4 linked regions of the Drosophila melanogaster genome follow. The protein of the gene in region 3 interacts with the protein of the main gene of each other region in a pairwise test. Each region holds a gene or a part of one and is shown on either strand. Other genes may lie near its edges.

Region 1 (3,268 bases), on a different chromosome or scaffold from region 3:
TAAAACTCCCAGACAGGATAGGACAGGACACAACACTACTTCGTCCAAGGAAAACAAACGACAGATGGGCAAAACTTGTATGTAACTTGGATCTGCCATTTCTTGCTTGATTTTACTTTTTGTCTGTTTGGCTGCGTTGAAGCTGATTGATGATTACAGATGTCGAGAGAAAGAATATAAAAAGTATTTATACGTCTTAGCAATTAAATAACGATTCTGAATTATAAAAATTAATTACTATTACCTATATATATAAACGAAGGGATAAATATATTTATAGTTTGTGCTCTTACTGTCATGCTCTATCCCATTTCAACACCTTTTTTTGTTCTGCCAAACTTTTACACACAAACGATGAAAACAAAAATACAAAACCACGTAAAACATAATAGTTGTAATTATTGCCGCGTGAATGAAGAAGCGTGCACACTAACAGTGCATTATAAATGAAATGAAAACTATGTATTTGCAAAACAGTACATACATTAAACAAAAGTATATAAACCATTCGTTTTTTTGGACTAATTGGGGTTCCCAACATTTTTATATTTTAAAGTTACAAATGGAAAATTAAGTTTCTTTAACTATTTTTATCCCTGCTTCAGAAAGTTATATGGCAAATGAAAAATGTGTATAAAAGAAGCTAATCTTAAGCAAATCCCATTCCTACTATTCCATTTTGTCCTGCTTTTCGGACTCGACTGTTCCTCCGTCGCAAAGAAACCAAAGACCAGCCAGAATGAGAGTTATTCCGATGCCAGATAGTACTGTCAGTGGCTCCCGATAAACAAGCGCACCTAGGACAAACTATATAACGAACAGTAATCATAATTGAACAAATAGATCGGTGGATCACCTACCGATAAGACATAATTCGAAGCGGCAGTTAAAACGACGCACGTTAAAGTTTGTTCAGTCATTTGCAGGGCCTTCAAAAAGAAACGCAAGTTGCAAACGTTGCATGTTACCATTAACACTAGTGGCAGCAGCTGAAGTAATGCTATTTCTAATAAATAAAATAAAATTTTATAAATTTATAAACATTTTGCTTGTTTGAAGAAATCACAATCTTGCCTAAATAAGAAAAGTCTTCATTTATTTGCGAAGTATTCAGTAGTTTTTGGGCGCTCAGGTGGCTGGGAAGTTTTCCGAAAAAGCTTCCTGCAGCTGCGAAGGAGCCAGCCACCAAACTGTATCGATATTTTGCGAGTGATTCCATTAGGTTAGATCTTTAAACTTATAAGTTTAAACCAATAAAAATGTAAACAAAAGTCGAACGAGGCAACAGCTGATGCGCAAAGCTGCCAACTTACTTCCATATGACAAGCTTGCGGTTCATTAAAATCCCGCCAGGTGGAGCACCTTGGCGCGAGATTTAAAAGAGTAGATATTTACTTCAACTTCATTCTTCATAAGAAATATAAGCACAGGAATATAAAAAACTAACTGGCGCAAAATCAAATCAAATTTGTGTGTAATTTTTTCGTATTTCATTTGTTTATTTTACAAAACGTTCAGCTAATGCCTTGACATTCATCGAAAAAGTCTCATTTGCTAATTGCGCGTTGTTTTTGCATCTTTTGGAATTGTGTAGGTTTATATACAAAGACCGCTGCTACATAAATAATACATATATTCTTGTACCTCTCAACAAAACTCAACTTACATAACGCAGAGCAAAGTAGTTGCATTAAAAAATAAATCTCTATGCCGCCTGGCATTATTAACATTCCTTCAATTCAAACATTTAGACACTTATATGTGGAAATTGCTTGAGTGCTATGCATTTCGTCTCATTGCTTTGCTTTACTTTGCTGTCACGGTTTAACTACAATTTTGCTATCGTACTATATATTTAGTTAAATATTTACTTGTTGCATAATACTTCGCCTGTTTCGGTTGTAACACTCACACACGGAAACACAGATATTCCTAATGCACTCCAAGCAAATCTATTAAGTTAGGTTCTTACTTAGCATTGCTATATAAATATTTTTTGATGTTTTTTCATTTTGATTTAGTTAGTTGTTATATATCGCCTAAGGTAAACTGCTCACAATTATTTTATACGTAATTCTTTTAATATTCTTTAAAATGTATACATATGGTTGTATATTTGTATAAATTTGTTTCGTATAATTGGTTGTGTGTGTCTTTAGTGTGTTGTTGTGTCTGCTAGGAAAATGCAACGACTTTCAGCCGTTATCTAGGAGCTCACAGAATCGAACCCCGTTCTCAAAACCAACATGCATTTGTGTAATCAACATTCAACAATTCACTCACTGAATACGGCTAATCTAATAAAAAGACACTTTTTTCTTGCCATTTAACAAATGGCCTATCCCTCTGACAATTCTGGCTGCTCTAATACCCTGTGACTCTAGTAGTTCGCTAAGTTTCTACATCAGGACGCAACACCTGCGACTGGAACTGGTGCTATCGGTGACCACGTCGCCAGTGATGCCGCTGAACTTGTTCAGCGAACTGCCCGCCGGCGAGGAGCCCTCGAAGTCGGATAGCACGCTTCCCGCGCCCATGTGACCCAATGTTGGCTGCGTCGAGATCGGTGCGGATCCGTTGTTGTTGTTGTTGCTGGTGCTCAGGTTGTTGTTGTTGTTGCTGCTGCTGCCGCCGGCTCCTAAAACAGAACCATTAGTTGTTGTGGCATTAGCTGCTGCAATTGGATGGGCATTGCTAGCTGTTTGGGATGACAATTCGAAAGTATTGAGGACATTGGCGGTGCGTGAAAGCGAGCGTTGCTTCTTCAAATTGGCCAATGTGGCGCTGTAGCCATCCAAGGCAACATGCTGCTGCTGCTGCTGCTGTTGCTGTTGCTGCTGATGTTGCTGAAGCTGCTGGTGTTGCTGCAACAGCAGTACGTGTTGCTGGTGGTGGTGTTGCTGCTGCTGCTGCTGCTGCTGTTGATGTTGCTGATGGTGGTGCGTGCTATTGGTGTCTGGATGTTGGAAGTTTTTGGCAAGGCGTTGGGTGTGTTTGGTGTTTAGTGGTGCGGTGGTTGTTGTTTTTATTGTTGATGATGATGCGGGCAGGCAGACGACACAGAACGGGCGAAACGAGGCACAACAACGACAACAAAAAAGAATGAAACGGAAACAAGCAAATGTTATTTTACTTTTCTTCTCTTCTTTTCCCGAGAACTAAGTTAGCAGATACCCATTGACCAATTGGGAGTGATCGGGTAGATGGGATGGAGGTTACATGCGAGTCAAATGCTAATGCTTATTGCAGCCATGCTCCCCTGTTTTCT
Region 2 (3,794 bases), on a different chromosome or scaffold from region 3:
ACTGCAGGCGTCGAAAAGAGCTGTTCGCTGTAGCGCTCTCCGCTCTCTCGCTCTCGAACAAAAATTTGAGAGTATGGCACTACGCATCTGTTACTCTAGTGTCTTCGGTTCGGTGACTTGGTCCCTGTCTCCGGCTCGATGAACCAAAGGCAATGTTTGACGACCCTAAACGAAAATGCGTTTCCTTCTGGAAATAGGCTGATCGAGGATCATTTATCCTGCAGAAAGATTATGCTCCGTGCCACAAAGCCCGAATGATAGCCAAGTTTCTAAAGGCTGTTGGCGTCACTCTCTTGAATTGTGCACCTCAAAGTCCAGATTTAAATATAATTAAGAAATCTGGTCTCTTTTAAAACGGAAAATAACTGTTCCGTGACACAAAACTCGTTAGAAGGCGATTTCTGAAATCACTTCTCTTTTTAAAGAGATGATCCTTTACAATATGGAGGATTTAGTAAAGGTTCGACTTACTTACACACAAAAAATAGACATTACTATCATATTAAACCATTTAAAAGTTTCACTGAAAAAAGGTTTGGAGTTTATTTTGTCAAAATGCTTACCGACTAGTGTATGTGGATACAGCAACACAGCGCACAAGATAATCTCGTGTTCATATGTACATGTTACAGAACGACGTAACGTAACATAATTAATTACCAGCTTGATATAGGAAATCAAGACAGTAATGACCTTACTAACTACTTTAATTAATTTATAAATAAAATATTTGTAAGTTGGGTAATTTAATAATAGCTATCAACAAAATTAAAAACAGTACGAATAATTCATGTCTCGCCAAACCGTTCCACACAATATCAGTAATAACCGTAATAAACATTTAAAATACCTTTTTTTAGGTCTTCCGTAGGTAAAATTCCCGTGGAGAAATAAAATATCATTTCAACAATTTGTTCAGATTGACCTCTTTAATAAAAAAAAGTGCTTTCATGACTCTGAAGGAAATTCCGGAGTTTGGATTTATCGCTACTATAGTAATCAAATATATTAATTCTCAAAATTTAAATATATAACAGAAATAAGAAGTGAATGGCGCACTGAACACATGAAACATAAAAAATGAAGTGAATAGTCTTCTTTGGGGTTTAAAAAACACAAACTCCTCACTCCGCCCCTTAATACAATAAGCATGTTGTAACATTTAAATTGAACTTTAACTTTATTAAAAGGAAAACACCTCTAACAAATATATCGAAGGGAAAATTTCAATACTAGTTTTAAGTAGTTGGGAAACTACATCTGAAATATTAGTTGGCAGTTACTCTGCTATTCATGTAAAATTGCTGGGCGGAGAGCAACAAAGTCAAAACATATATACATGCGGCAATCCAGCAGTTGTAGGCATTCTGAAAAAATTTACCTTGCATTAGCAGACGTATGTGTACATATGGTTGTTGTAAAAAGAGAACATACCTGATTGTATGCTCTATTTGCAGCTGCATAAAAATCTTCCAACGAATGGTATTCCTCCTCAAGAGGTAAGTCCTCAATGAGGGCTACACTATTTATGTAGAAGAATAGACCCATTAAAACCTTTAACATAAATATGTAAGTGGTTACTTTTTGAAACTTTGACGAAATTAGATTCTCAGTACTCACCAATTGGACAATACCCCAAACAGAGATAATAAGACCACAAAGTGATAGTTTCGGGCCACAGATTTTCATTTTCTTAAATTTTTGTTAAACACTTTTAAGAGAATAAAAAGTTTCAGCAAACACAATTCGTCACAATTCCTCAATGAAAACTGTGATTTTGTCAGGTGAACATATCATGTGACCAAACTTTTGGTGTGGCTGTGCACAAATAAAATTAAAAAACTGATGCAAATGTAAGCGATAAAAAACATAAGCTCGTCAAACTAGCGTCGGTGAGCTAGTGACGATTTAGGAGCGGTGGAAAAGGAACAAGGGCCGTTTTAGTAATTTTAGTCACTGCCCGGAGCGTGTGAAGCGCAATGGTCAACATTCTACTGCCCGGAGCGTGTGAAGCGCGATGTCAGCATTCTGCCGTGAGCGCTGCTTCAGAAAACGGGCTACTTCATATTAAGCTTAAGTTTTCTGTCTTTAGTTTTAAAACTCATCAGAACGCGCATAGTCGCATAATAAATCGCAATACACAAAATCGTTGCCTGTTAATTTATATAACAATATATATATAATATATTATAATATATATATTATATATATATATATATATATACAATACAATACAATAAGTATAATAAATAAATATATATATACATATATATATATATAATAATAATAATTTTAATATTATTAATTTTATTATTATAATTATTAATATTTTAATATATATGTCGGAGATTGAGTAGATCTAACATATTATTTGAATTATTATTTGAATGTAACCGACATTTGTTTATTGATCCGTATGTTAAGGATGAGCAGCGAGTAATAAAATTCACGGAATGAGTTCCGTTATTGAGTGGGCATCATTTGTGTGTGTATTCAAATTAGCATGGCGCCTGTTGTTGTTGTGGTAGAGTTTTGTGGAAACGAAGTAAGGATAAAACAAAAAAAGAATTTTGAAGATGAGAAATAGAAGAATAGCATCGAGAAGGCGACGCTTGAGTAAATAAGTCTGGTGAGAACTGCCAAAGAGACAACACGCAGGCGACTTGCTGTGCTAATTAATTGGACGCTCGGCTTCACCGACATATATATATTATATTATATCATATATATATATTAACATATCCATTCTATACCCACAACTCCCCAACCACACACACTATCGTAAACAATTACACACACACATCAATGTGTAAGTACGAAATGTAATTAAAGATCGAGAGCCCTTCGATTAAGCTTAGCTGTCAATTACTCACAGCAAAGTGCAAAAGTCCGAATTCCAAAGTCTAGACTCTGCGTCGAGCCAACGTCCACGTCCCCTAAATATCCGATCACTTGGTGAACCAACTGAAATAACAAAAACTTCCGCCCACACAATCGTCTCAGGATTCTCCAATTAATCCTATTTTTCGGAAGCTCCTCTCTTAACAGGAGAATAGACGTTGATAACGTTGTTCTCTTAAGCTTCGCTCTTAAGCTATCCCAATCTGCCTACATAAACCCAAACATGCCCCAATACGTTAGTTCAGTTCTGAGTACGTTATCAATCGCCATAACCCTGCTTAAGATTGAACCACGCGAATCGGCGCTAAAGTGAACATAAAATCGTAATACAATTAACTCTTTTATCCGCAAAAGAACTACTTATAATCGGTGGTTGACACGCAATAGTCAAACCTACTGCATACGGTCAATAAAAGTGTAAAAACAAAAATAAAAATAAAATCATCAGCCATGGCAACCGAGCAAGTCAAACTGTTATCGGAATCCCATCTGAATCAAGCCTTAAGCCAAATTAGGCAAATACCCACATTCAGTGGTAATACCCCAGAACTCAGTGCCTTTATCCGAAAGATCGATTTCATACTTCCAGTCTATCCATCAACCGACACCAGTTAAAAACATGTATTCTTCAGCGCAATTGAGATGCAACTCGCCTCGCGCGATAAACGAGTTCACATGCGTCTGATTTGGTTTTTCCAAAAATATTGACAACCTACAATTTCGTCTTGTCTTATTTTTTGATAGGGTTTTATCAAAGACTCTAGAATAACAAGATGCGTACCGCCATAACGACTTTTTGGCACACGATTTTTTCGGCGTGGCTCTAGAGGTGGCTCCAGGCTCTCCCGAATTTTTGTTCAAGATCGAGAGAGCGGAGAGCGCTACAGCGAAAA
Region 3 (4,574 bases):
AAACTGGCAACAAAAGTAATAATAATGAGGCGGGAGCCCCCAAAAACAACACAAACAATAGACGAGCCAAGTGCTTTTTTGTGGGCGTTGGGTGCTGCTTGTTGGGTGATGATGGTTGTTGCGTTTGTGGGTGGTTCAAAAGATTTGAAAAGCCAACAATGGCAACAGCTTACAGAGCACCGAAACCAAAACGAAAACGAAACAAGAAGCAAAATCAGACAGGGGGGCACCATAGTGTACCTGTTTATTTTCAGTTTCAATGCGGATAAGGTAAACAAAGGTTGGCGATATCTTTTTCATGGAGCGCCGGTTGCAAAAATTCTATCCGGCAATGTTAGGTGAAAATAGCTTGTTGTGCAAGCAAACATGGTCGCAAAAGTAGTTCGTGTAGTAAAATAAATAAACAATAGCCTCGGGAAAGTGGCCTTTTGCGTAAATGAATCAATAACAATATGCACGATCAACAATTGACATTCAAGCCCAATTTACGCATATGAACTCTCATCATTAAAAAACACCCTTCATTTACAAATTACATTTATGTATTTTTGTTTTATTCTTCCATTGCAAACGATTTATTTGTTTATAAATACAACAATTCAGTGGTCATGAAAAGCATTGTGCTAAAAACTAACTACTTCAATGTATATTCACTTGAGACACACAAATACTATGTACTTAATAAAAGTAAAAAAAAAATCGGGTATATATATGTACATATATATTCACGCATTGTTAACCAGTTATCAGAAGAAGGGAAGAAGCAGAGCCAGAAGGCACAATACAACTTATCTCTTTGGAATTTGCTCTCTTGTTAGTGGTTTTCTCTCGCTTTCTGTTCGCTATTATATCTACGTTATTGCTGCGATCGACTGGCTTTATCTTCTTCACTTCTTGACCTATATCTAGCGACTATTAGATAACACATACGGTAACTGTTCCCGCGACAAAAGCTTGCCACAATTTCAAACTTCAGACTTAAATGCTTCAAGCAAACGCAAGCGATACTCGCTCTCTCAAAACAAACTCACACACACGCGCACGCACTGGCACTCACACAGATACTCGTTCGCACACAGATACTCGCTCTCACACAGATACACACACAGAGTAAGCCTAACGTAGTAAGAGCCACCAAAAGCTGGGTTCGTGCACCTGAAACCAAGTCTATATCGTTTGGGTGGCCACCTCCCGCTGGCGACTGCGCCGATAGTTTCCATAGGCCTCCAGTCCGTTGATGCAAAATGCTGTCAGGCCAAAGAACTGTAAAAAAAAAGGTGAAGAATAGGGTGTATTAGACGGATCTACAGAGAGTTCATCACAGCGAGGGAATGAATCGGCTCCAACTGGAGGCTCAGTGTTTCGTTTACCAGTATCTTTCCTAGCTTAATCATTAGCCGAAACAATGAGCCGTAATACTTTTGGTTTCCGAACTTATCCTAACTGCGAGAACGCCACTTACCGCCGCCGCCGTATAGGCTCCAATATCCAGGGAGAGTACGAGTCCGGAGGCCGTGAAGTAGGCCAGGGCCAATGAGGAGTGCACCGCCAGGGACCAGAGCGTGGGATCGCATCGGCAGAACTGGCGCTGCCACAACCGGAGATACCTGGCCAGGAGCAGGCAGCCGGTGGCCACGAATCCGATGGTGACTACGGCCAGGTAGAAACTGCCGCGGAAATTGCTCACGCGCACCGGTCCGCAGATGATGCACAATATTCCAACAAAGCTGCACAGCTGAAAGACGCACACATACAAGCGCACACATTAAGGGCGATACACAATGGCACATATGTGTAAGGCTAATTACCAAACAGGCCAGCTTGCACAGGCCCGGCATGCTGAGCAGGTATTTGCGATCGTAGTCCTGGGTTCCCGTCAACGACATCGCGGCCAATACAAGATATATACGTTTTGGATGCAGTTAATCCAGATTGTCCAGCCGAATAGATGCCTCAGAAACGAGCGATTAAAGCCAATGTAGCAAATGTAGCGAAGCGCCGCTGACTAATTCATATTGCGCTCGCCAGCACGCACAGAATGCCACTGAAGTAATACAAACAACACAAATACTCAGAATTCTCCCATCGTTACACTCGGCGAATAAAACTACAATTGCGAGAGCGAGAGAAGCAGCGGGCGAAAGAGAGAGAGAGAGAGAGAGAGAGAGAGAGAGACAGAGAGCGAGCAACACATGGCACAGTGGGACGAAACGATCAGGAAATGTAGTACATATTGTGTACAAATTGTGTTATCTACTCAAATGGTATCTAATGAAACTATAAATATTAAGGAGATTAGCTTTAGCTGGGTATTTATAAAAAATAGGATTATTAGTTTAAGAAAGCTGTAATTTCCAATAAATGAATAAACCATATTAACTTGTCTTACTAACTGTAGTTTTGGGGGTCTGTTCATTGTGAATGCTTCTTCGTTACATTATACTAATTTTCGTTCGGGGGATGTCAAGGGGTGAATCTAACACGGTGTGACTCACTGACCTCCAGGGATATATTAAATATATGTATATTCATAAGGCAAGGTGACCGGTTACTGGGTGAGCAAAGCTTTTTTAGTCGTGTGAAGTGCCGAGCTTTTATGACTGGCATTGCTTGTGACATGCAGTTTGAGGTTGGGCCCTTTTTGGACCACTGTGCATTCGAATTTCCATCTGTATCTTAATGCCCAGCATCATTAGATTGTGCCATTCGAATCGTATTTGTTATCGGCTATGACCGAAACGCTTCTCGTTATTTTAATCGGCACAGCAGGCTAATTGATTTAGTTACTTAACGGATAAATCGCTGCACAAATCCGAATGCGAATGCAAATGCGAGCCTCCCAAAATCAAATGCAATTTCGTCGTGATTCACATTGCAAAACACAAGCTGCCCAGCACATATCATACGGAATACGTGAATATACACAAACCATTTGGTGGCCAGATAAGTTTGACGAACTTTGAACACACTACTCCATACAAAAGAAAAAAATTTTATGATACAAAGCTACAAAGATATTACAGATACAATTTTTTCATTCATTTAATTTTGATTTCTCGCTACTCATGTACTATTTTCCACATTCAATTGTTAAAGTTCTTGAAAATGCATAGATACTTGTATAGGGTAGCAGTCGAAACACTCTGGCCCGACATCAAATTGAGTTATATTAATTGACTCATATTCATGAGAGGTGGCTCGTTTACGAAATGGCCGCATGGGTGGCCCCCGCCTCCTGGCCAAGGTCACTTGCACAATCGCCTCGACTGACTGAGATTCAGAGACATTCACAGTTTCACAGATTCACATATTCTAATGCAGAGCGGAAAATGCTGAGTGAGATATCTATGCGACGGAAATCGGCCACAACAAGCGGAAATGAGCACGAAAATCATAAATGAACTGCACTTGAGCAATTTAAGCGATAAAGTGCAGTTTCCATTTCGAGGGTAACAAACAGTCAGACGACTGCAGGGCAACTAATGTCTACATGATTTCTAAAAGCTCATGCATATATATGTATAAACATATATATATACATAAATATGGGAGGCACGAGATTTGCGCTCATCGATAAGCATCGAATCGTCTGGACAAGCGGGGAAAATGTGCGGCGGAAAAGCGAAGAAAATTGACTGGAGAGCGGATTTACACTTGAGGGCGTGCGAGTCTCAATGGCAAAAAGCTATGATTACCTATGGACATTTCTTTGATTTCTTTAGGACTTTGAATTCGATAAGTGCACAGAGGACTTTATAAATGTGCGCTTTAAACCACTGAATAACAGCAAAAGCATCTAAATAGTTTTTAACTAAATATCCAACTTATACTCAGTGGCACGTTGCTGAGAGTGCATTGTTTAGTGATATATCTCGCCTACGATTCATGCACATGGCTGGTTTTTCGCTTACGCACTCAGGCAATTTCCATCGCTTTTCCACCCATGTTGTAGAGCAGCGGAGAGAGAGGGGGGCGGGGCCGGGGGGAATTGGAAAATGTGGGTGCATCTAATTAGAAAAGCATTCGCTGTAATTGCCAGCTGCTGCATCAGCAAGATTTTGTTTGCTTTGGCGACGGGATAACGTGGAGCAGGACCAAAGGCAAAGCGACATGTGAGCTATTAAGCAGTGTTCTGGCTGAAAAAATCCAGTTTCAGATGCATCAGAAGCATCTTTAATAATGACAAACTTGGCGATAACTATGACCAATTAAACGAAAGTTGGAGTAAACGTTTGCGAGCAGGCAGATAATTAGTTTCAGGCACTTTGAAGGAAGTTCGAAAGAAAGCGGCAAGTTGGGCCGTAGCCATTTCTCAACCTCGACAAAGAAGTGTGCCAGCTGGGTATCTGTCAGATACAGATACTAAGTTGCCCAGATACACGGCTCGATTTGAATGCAAATTTCGTGCAGTGGCTGTCAGACTCTGCAGCTGACGTGACAAGACCAAGACCACCCCCCCTAATTTCGAATCCCGAAATACCCCAAAAATAGCAACGACCTCAGCATATCTGCCAAGTGAATTTGAATCTGATATTCCCTTCGACTTTGGGCGCTTTTTATCCGCCAGCTGACAA
Region 4 (7,433 bases), on a different chromosome or scaffold from region 3:
ATACACATACATACGTTTATAAATCTATATGCCTACGTGTAGTTAAAATTTAAATTGAAAATATATTCAAATTCGAAATGAATGTTCTCAAATGTACCAAACAAAACAAAATGAAGAATTACCAAACAAGAAACAAAAACCGAAAAACCAAAACTCTCTCTTTAAACAAACTTTAATTGGCGGGTTAAACATCATGTGGAGCAAAGGGAAGCGATGGGTTATGGATTTGACATTGGAAATCCCTGTCGGCAATTGGCAATTCGATAGTGCAATTGAGTGGAAATTACTGAAACTTTGCAAGGCCAGACGAACCCGAATTGGCTGTGTCGGTCGGAGAATAAACTTTAATTGGAAATAGTTGGGAAATAATTTTTTGGTGTGTACTGGTTTTACCGTAGAGAAAATTGAAATTCAAGCTATGAATCTGCGCCTAAATTGATAGAGCCTAAAAGTAGACAACACTAATCAGTAAAAATGCTCGTCAAGCATTTAAATTTCCTTTAAACTAAATTTTACCACCGAAAAAATTAAAAGAAAAAATCCGTACAAACAACAAAGGGACACTCAGAAATGAGTGAATCCACAAATTAGGATTCCCCATATTCTGCACATCGTTTTATTCGCTTGGAATGAATAGAAACTATTAAATCTTACTACTAGGCAGAAGAGTAGAATTCTTAACAAGAAAACACAGGGTAACAAGGAATTTAAGCTGGATTTTGGACTTGGGAAACAATCGTCTTTGGCTAGGTTCTACTTGCTCTCGATGTTCTTGAGCGGCACCATTTGCTCCGGATCGTCGGGATATACGCTATTCTGGCGCTTTTTGCGACCAGCACACTGACTGAACCAAGTATCTCCCTTTCCGAAGTTCTCTCCATCCTCAATGGACTCGGGCATGGGCTGGTTCATTGTCTCCGGCAGGAACATAACCCAGAAGCCCGAGATCAGGGCCACCACGCCGAACAGCACGGCCGGTATCTTCGGATCAAATGAGTCCAGCAATGTAATGAGCGGAGTAAGGGCTCCCGACAAACGGGCACACATCGATCCCAATCCCATGGCCGAGTTCCGCACCACGGTGGGAAACAGTTCGGCTGAGTAATTGTAGATTACGGCAAAGGAACCGGCGATGAGGAGCTTTCCTGCCATTACCACCGCCGTGGAGGTGGTGCTGCCCTGGGCAATGTAGGCGGCCACAATGCAGCATAGACCGCCACCCAACATCAGGGTGGAGGTGATCGATCGACGACCCAGGCGATCTAGGACGAACACAATGGTTATGTAGCTGGGGAACTCCACGAGGCCCATGATGAACAGGATCAGGTAGGGATTTCCATACAGCTTGCCGGCACTGAGCGATAGTCCGTAATAAACCAGAGAATTGGCGAACCAGCAGAGGCACACGTTCAAAGTCTTCATCCTCAAGTTGGGCGTGCGGAAGAGGTCGCTCAATCCGGCGCTGGATTTTTCTTCGGCCGCCGCCTGCTGTTTGGCTTTCTGCACATAGTACTCCTTGTCCACCGGGATGCCCGATCCGTTGATTCTCAGGCCCTTGGCCACAATATCCACCGCCTCGGCGGCACGTCCCTGCATCCACAGCCAGCGCGGAGATTCATCGAGCCACCACCAGTGGCCCAGGAACAGACAGCCATGCAGTCCGTAGATCACTTGGAGCCACTGGCGGTCAGGGATGAGTGCTCCCCATCCGGCCACCAACATGATGCCACCAGCGAAAACAGCCTAAAAGTATTGCATGGTATAGCCAGTTTAAAAAATGCAAAATCTATTGAAGTCTTCCTCACCTGGAAGGTAATGCCGCACACAGTACGCTTGGTAGGTCCCACCAGTTCCATGGTCAGCACGAACCCACAGATGTAGGCACCCGCTGATCCCACAATGCCCAGCAGGTAGCGAGCCACCATGAATGAGAAGTACTCGGGAATGAAGGCCACACCCACACCGATGATCAATTGGAACAGGGCCGACCAGCAGAACACGGTTTTCCGACCCACTTTGTCGGCGAGTCCGCCAAGGGTGACTGCGCCTGTGAACACGCCCAGCATGAACACGGTCTGCACAATGGCTCCCATCCAGCGGCGATCGCACACAAAGTTCCAGTCGATGGTGCGCGAAGTCTTGTAGTACGTCGTGTCGTATACGTAACGTTCGCAATTGATGGTGGTATTGGTGCCAGGACTACTGGGATCGAACATGAGGCAGGACTCTAGCTCGCCATTGGGCTTCAGCGGAATGGCGGCCAGGATAGCGCTCGAGTTCCATGGTGTCACCGACAAGCTGCTGTTATCCACGCCCTCGATGAAGCAGCGATGCTCAGGCACGGCGGCCACCGTGACCAGCGATAGCATGTGCATGCCAGCGGTCAGGCCGGAGAGCACCTGCAGGAAGAACTGCAGGAACTGGTACTTTCCAAACTCCCCTGCAATTGGATAGAAAAAAATAGAAAGACATTTCACAATCATTAATGTCTTGGGAAAGGTTATGAGCGCACAACAAATGTGAGCTTTCAGCAACATGATAGATAGTGATAATCTGTAGCACCCATGAATCACCCAGTTTACGATTAAATATAATAAAAAGAAAGTAAGTTGAGCTGAAAACGGAAGTTGTTCTAGCTCAAATTATTTAAAACGGTTTTTTATTTCAGTATTTGAATTTGAACATCACGTAGCTGCGATAAAAACACAACCCAAAGAAACAGCCGACTTTTATGTAGATGGGAACTTTTAATGGGTATCGCTGGAATTGTCGTCACTCCAAAGGCTTTGCAATTAAATCAAGTGGAATTTATTCAATTCGATTTCAATTGAAGCGCATTCGCCTAGCCCGTCAAATATTTGCCCACAGTTTGGTTTGGTTTGGTTTTGGTTTCGAACGCCATGAAAAGAGACTCGGATGTCTTGGGAGAATGCACTGAATCGATTATGACTTGGCTGGTCAGTCAGTCCATGGCGATCGCGTTGATGGGAGGCCAGGGGCTGTGTAAATTTCTAACGACATGGACAGTATGTAGCCTAGATACGAGAATTTGACACTTGATCACGGTCCAATGTTCAATCAGCCGTTTCAATTGATTTGTGGGTTACGTTTATTGATCGTTTAAACGAAACTCTTGCCATCAAATGAAAAGTTACGTTCACCCCGGTTACGTTGCAATCGACAAATCATGAGTAAAACGTCTGAGAATTTTCATTTTTCATTATTAAAACGATTGCGTGAAGTGTAAAATTATGTCATCGGGTTGACTTAATTAATCTCAATTATAAAATTTGACTCTACGCCTAATGAAATTCAATTACGCCCCCAATAGACATAATCAGCGTATAATTGAGCACAATCTAGGAAATCGATTGGCCAAATTTGTGATAACTAAACTCGTAATAGTAAATACTAATGTGGAACTCATAGCGGATTATCAGAGGCCACCAAATGCTAGATCATATATCAGTGATATTGTTGCTTCAGATTTATTGCATCCGTCCAATATAACTAGCCGTATAATTGTTGCCAAGTGGCCCTTGAATACGACATTTGTTTTTGGCCCTGTCAATGTTTGTTGTTCTCTTAATCGTAAGCCATCTATTATGATGTACAAAACCAACAGTTTGCACATTAAAATGAATATGGCGCAGGTTTGGACCGTTGTTTATTCTGGGCAAACTTTTTGAGCGATAAGTGAGATGGATAAGAACACGGAATATTAAAAAATAATGCAGTCATATTTCTAACAATATTGCACATGTATATTAATCTACTGTTATTCTACTATCAACTGTTGCTTTATTTCAGAGTTGATTTCTTCAAAGCTTTTAAAATTTCCTTTGTGCTTAAGTATCATGATTCGAATAATTGAGGTAGATCATGGTTTTACACCTCCACTTTAAGGCTTCCTTCGGTTTTTGTTCATCCGTACTTCAACATTTTCACTTCCCGCGTTTACTAACAACTGAAGGTCGATTTAGTTCTGTTCTGTGCTCTCCACATAGCACGTGTGGAAGTGCTCTCAAAGTCATTTTAAGTTGCTGGTTTTATGGTAACCTTCTTACGTACAAATAACAACCAACTCAGCAATGCAACACGCCTCCAAATTCGAAGTAATTAGAGTTGCTGCTCGCCAATAGGCCTTCAACAAAGTAAACAGAAATAAAAGAGCGATATGTGAATTTTGATGGCTGAGGGAGGTATTGCCATATAGTTGAATGTGAGCAAACCAGTTTAAGGTTTTTTGCATTTCACAGATACAAATGTATGCGAATATATTACGAATAAAAAAGTCGCTAATGCGATTATTACTCCCTCTCTCCTGTCACTTTCTTATAGGCTGCGGTTTTGCGAATGCTTAATACAAAACCAGTTTCGGATTGTAAAAAACTGTTCTATTTTAATTAACGACAATTTCAGCACAATCGTTGACACAAATTTTATATTCCAACTCATATTTTATGTGACTCATAAATTTCTAATTTGTAGCCGTGACAAATAAAACTGTTTATCCATCGATCTTCCACTGTATTCCCACAATTAATCTTAACTATTTTGCATACTGCATATAAACACGCTTAATTTTGTAGCTTCCACAAGCTAGCTGCAATGTTTGAACCGCACAATTAGAGTATATAATAAATTATAAGCAAATACCCAGATATCCGTAGATCCCAAGATCTTTATGACGAGCCTACTTCACAGTCTTGTGACAGATACCGCCCCTTTTGCACCCGTTTTATTTTTGTTTGCCTGTTAGCCGCCACACTCGTTTTAGCGTCACTGTGCTAAAGCCAAGTAGGCTCAACAAGTGTCAGACAGCCTCCAGCTCAGAACTTGGCCCACACGAACATGTGTCGACTATATGTGTACATAAATACATACTTGGTATGGTATATAGTCAAAAGGGGAGCAACAGGTCGGAGTCTCTATCAAGCTGTCATAAATGTCTGTCACTTGGTGGCCTCGACGATTTATTAAATTAAGAATAGTGCAAAATGAAAATGAAAATAGTTGCAATTAAAAAAGTATTATAGTCGGCTTCTTTTGAGCACTTGACGTGACGGACAGCCAGCCGGATAGATTAGGCGGAGATTAAAAGCATAATACGGAAAAATTAATTATAGATTTTAAAAGCAGAACAGAAGGTTGGGCGGTAAACCTCATTGGTCGTCGTGAAACAAAATATTATCCATAGTAGCTTGCAACGCTGATAAGACCTCTCAAAATGATAAGCATAACGCCAGGCTCTTATCAGCACGGGATGGAGACGCCTGGCAACGTAACAGCTGACCTTTCAAAAGTCTTCGCTCCCAAAAGCCCATTCCACTCACCAAGTTTCCCCATCAGGTCCTCCAGTACATAATCCACAGCCATGTTTGATTTTTTATTGATAATCAAAAATAAATGAAAGTAACTGTTTGCTATTGCTTCTTAACAAATCGTCATCTTCTGCAGAAGTGGAGCATGTATGAATGGCACACCAGTGCAGCACTGCTGATAGTTACGGGTCGCGAAGATGCAAAACGAATCCGGGATAAACAACGTGCTCGAGTGAAACAAAATCGCAAACGGAGCGCTCGATCAGCTATCAACTCTTCCGACCGCCGGCAGCATTTGAACTGGCAAAAACTAACTGCGAACTGTGTCGCTCAGCGAGAAAACTGAGTGGTAAATGGCGATAAGGTCGCTCCAAGCTCGCGAGCGAAGAGAGCTTGTGGAGGTCTCCAAAGTTGGGAACTAAAGAGCAAACTCTGCTCGAGGGTAAGAGCTTCAAAAACTGTAATCACCATTATAATCCTTGATGTATGAAAATAAATGATGCCTCTTGGCAAGGATCCCTTAGATTAGAATACGATCAGAAAACTCATACCTTAGCAAGCTTTGATTTGCCTAACACTCAGTGACAAACAAAACATAAGTCACAAAAACACATACAAAAAATACATAAAATTCATTTAAAGTTAATTTTAAAATTATGTGTGAGCCAAACTTATCAGATCCGTCGACATTCCTGTACTTGGATATGCTGGCGGATATTTTAATGCAGGACAGCCTTGAAATGGAATCAGATTTCAATACCAAGTTAAAATTTCTTAAGGAACAGGAACAAATTTGCCTAGACAATGCCAAAAATGTGAGACTCAATGGCCATAGGCAAACAGGATATAAATTTTTCATACTCCAACAGGCACTTCCCATCGATGATACCCTGAGATCAGTAAAGTGCACCATGCTTAGGGTAGAAATGGAGCTGCATGAAAACGAGATTAACCTTATACAGGCGGAGAAAGCAGTTACGAAATTGGAGCAGAGCTATCCGAGTCCTGAGAGTCTGGCAGGCCAAGTGTTTCCTTTGGCAAGTACCACATATCAGGATTTGCTGAGTATGCTGATGTCTTCGAAAAAAACAGTCGATCATTGCAATCAGATCAAAGAGGAGGTCGCGACGTATAATGAGCAGATATCCGCAAAAGTACCTTCCGTAAATTTGGTATGAAATGATGACTAAAAGTTGTATTTAGAGTTTCTAAAGTGAGTGTATCAACAGGTAACCAAGCTTATCGATTACCACAATAATACACTGGAGTCTATGGAAAAAAATATCGAAAAATTGAAGAGCCAGGTCACACAAGTTCAAAAGGAGTTCGAGCAGCTTTATAACGAACATGCACGCCAATTCAACGCACCGTTCCCATGCAAAAAGGTCAAGGAGTTAAAACCAAAAGACACATGTGGAGTACGACTACGCATGTAATCTGATAACACAATATATCCAACGAATATTATAAATGCTTACAATGCTGCAAGTTCAACTTTTCGCTTAAGATTAGGTTTGGTGATCTGGGCTTAAATTTTAGTTGTTGGCATCACGGAAAAACAACACATCGTCGGCTATGATACTGGTGCTAGTCTTCTGGTTGCCCTGCTGGTCGGTGATCTCTCCATAGGTGATCTTTCCCTGCACCATGGTTCGCTGTCCCTTCTTCAAGTATTCCAGCACGGTGTCACGCAGATTGGGCTTGAACACCACTACACGATGCCAGTCGGTGCGTTGGGCCCAGTCGCCGTTCTCATATCTGTGGGGAAATATTTAAGACTTCATGAATGCTTTTTAAATGAAATGGTAGCTATTTTCTTTATGAAATCCGGCATTTCATGGATCCTAAGAAGAAATTGATCACTGAAGTTAATTGAACAAGGAAATGTACACTATTGCCGTTATCATTAGGTAATTACATACAGCAAATGTTCTAATAACTCATTACATAAATCTGAATTAGCAGCTCAACGTGATATTTTCTTGGAGGTTAAGGCTAAGAACTAACTTAATTGTCAACATTTATGTAGCTTTTTTATTTCCCTCCTCTGAGATGTGATTTCAAGTTCAGTTGCAGACGCATGCTGGGCGGCAAAACGCACACAAATGC

What was found.
Region 1: the proteins of CG12730 (region 3) and CG42495 interact in a two-hybrid assay, tested with the Drosophila melanogaster proteins (one large-scale study listed by BioGRID).
Region 2: the proteins of CG12730 (region 3) and RNASEK interact in a two-hybrid assay, tested with the Drosophila melanogaster proteins (one large-scale study listed by BioGRID).
Region 4: the proteins of CG12730 (region 3) and CG6126 interact in a two-hybrid assay, tested with the Drosophila melanogaster proteins (one large-scale study listed by BioGRID).

What each region holds. Positions count from the first base shown.
Region 1 is NT_037436.4:18,665,386-18,668,653, reverse strand, and holds CG42495 (uncharacterized protein), read right to left. Parts: upstream 1,294-3,268; 5' UTR 1,220-1,293; coding exon 1,075-1,219; intron 1,007-1,074; coding exon 861-1,006; intron 808-860; coding exon 670-807; 3' UTR 519-669; downstream 1-518. Other genes in the region: MYPT-75D (myosin phosphatase targeting subunit 75D), read right to left, coding at 2,400-2,956.
Region 2 is NT_033778.4:4,186,326-4,190,119, forward strand, and holds RNASEK (ribonuclease kappa), read right to left. Parts: upstream 1,803-3,794; 5' UTR 1,690-1,802; coding exon 1,621-1,689; intron 1,555-1,620; coding exon 1,435-1,554; intron 1,368-1,434; coding exon 1,269-1,367; 3' UTR 510-1,268; downstream 1-509.
Region 3 is NC_004354.4:5,514,733-5,519,306, reverse strand, and holds CG12730 (uncharacterized protein), read right to left. Parts: upstream 2,700-4,574; 5' UTR 1,887-2,699; coding exon 1,809-1,886; exon of another isoform or gene 1,807-1,808; intron 1,736-1,806; coding exon 1,463-1,735; intron 1,264-1,462; coding exon 1,168-1,263; 3' UTR 536-1,167; downstream 1-535.
Region 4 is NT_033777.3:16,197,455-16,204,887, forward strand, and holds CG6126 (uncharacterized protein), read right to left. Parts: upstream 5,630-7,433; 5' UTR 5,380-5,629; coding exon 5,337-5,379; intron 2,441-5,336; coding exon 1,806-2,440; intron 1,744-1,805; coding exon 754-1,743; 3' UTR 546-753; downstream 1-545. Other genes in the region: CG31287 (uncharacterized protein), read left to right, coding at 5,981-6,139, 6,194-6,496, 6,554-6,760; mtSSB (mitochondrial single stranded DNA-binding protein), read right to left, coding at 6,860-7,082.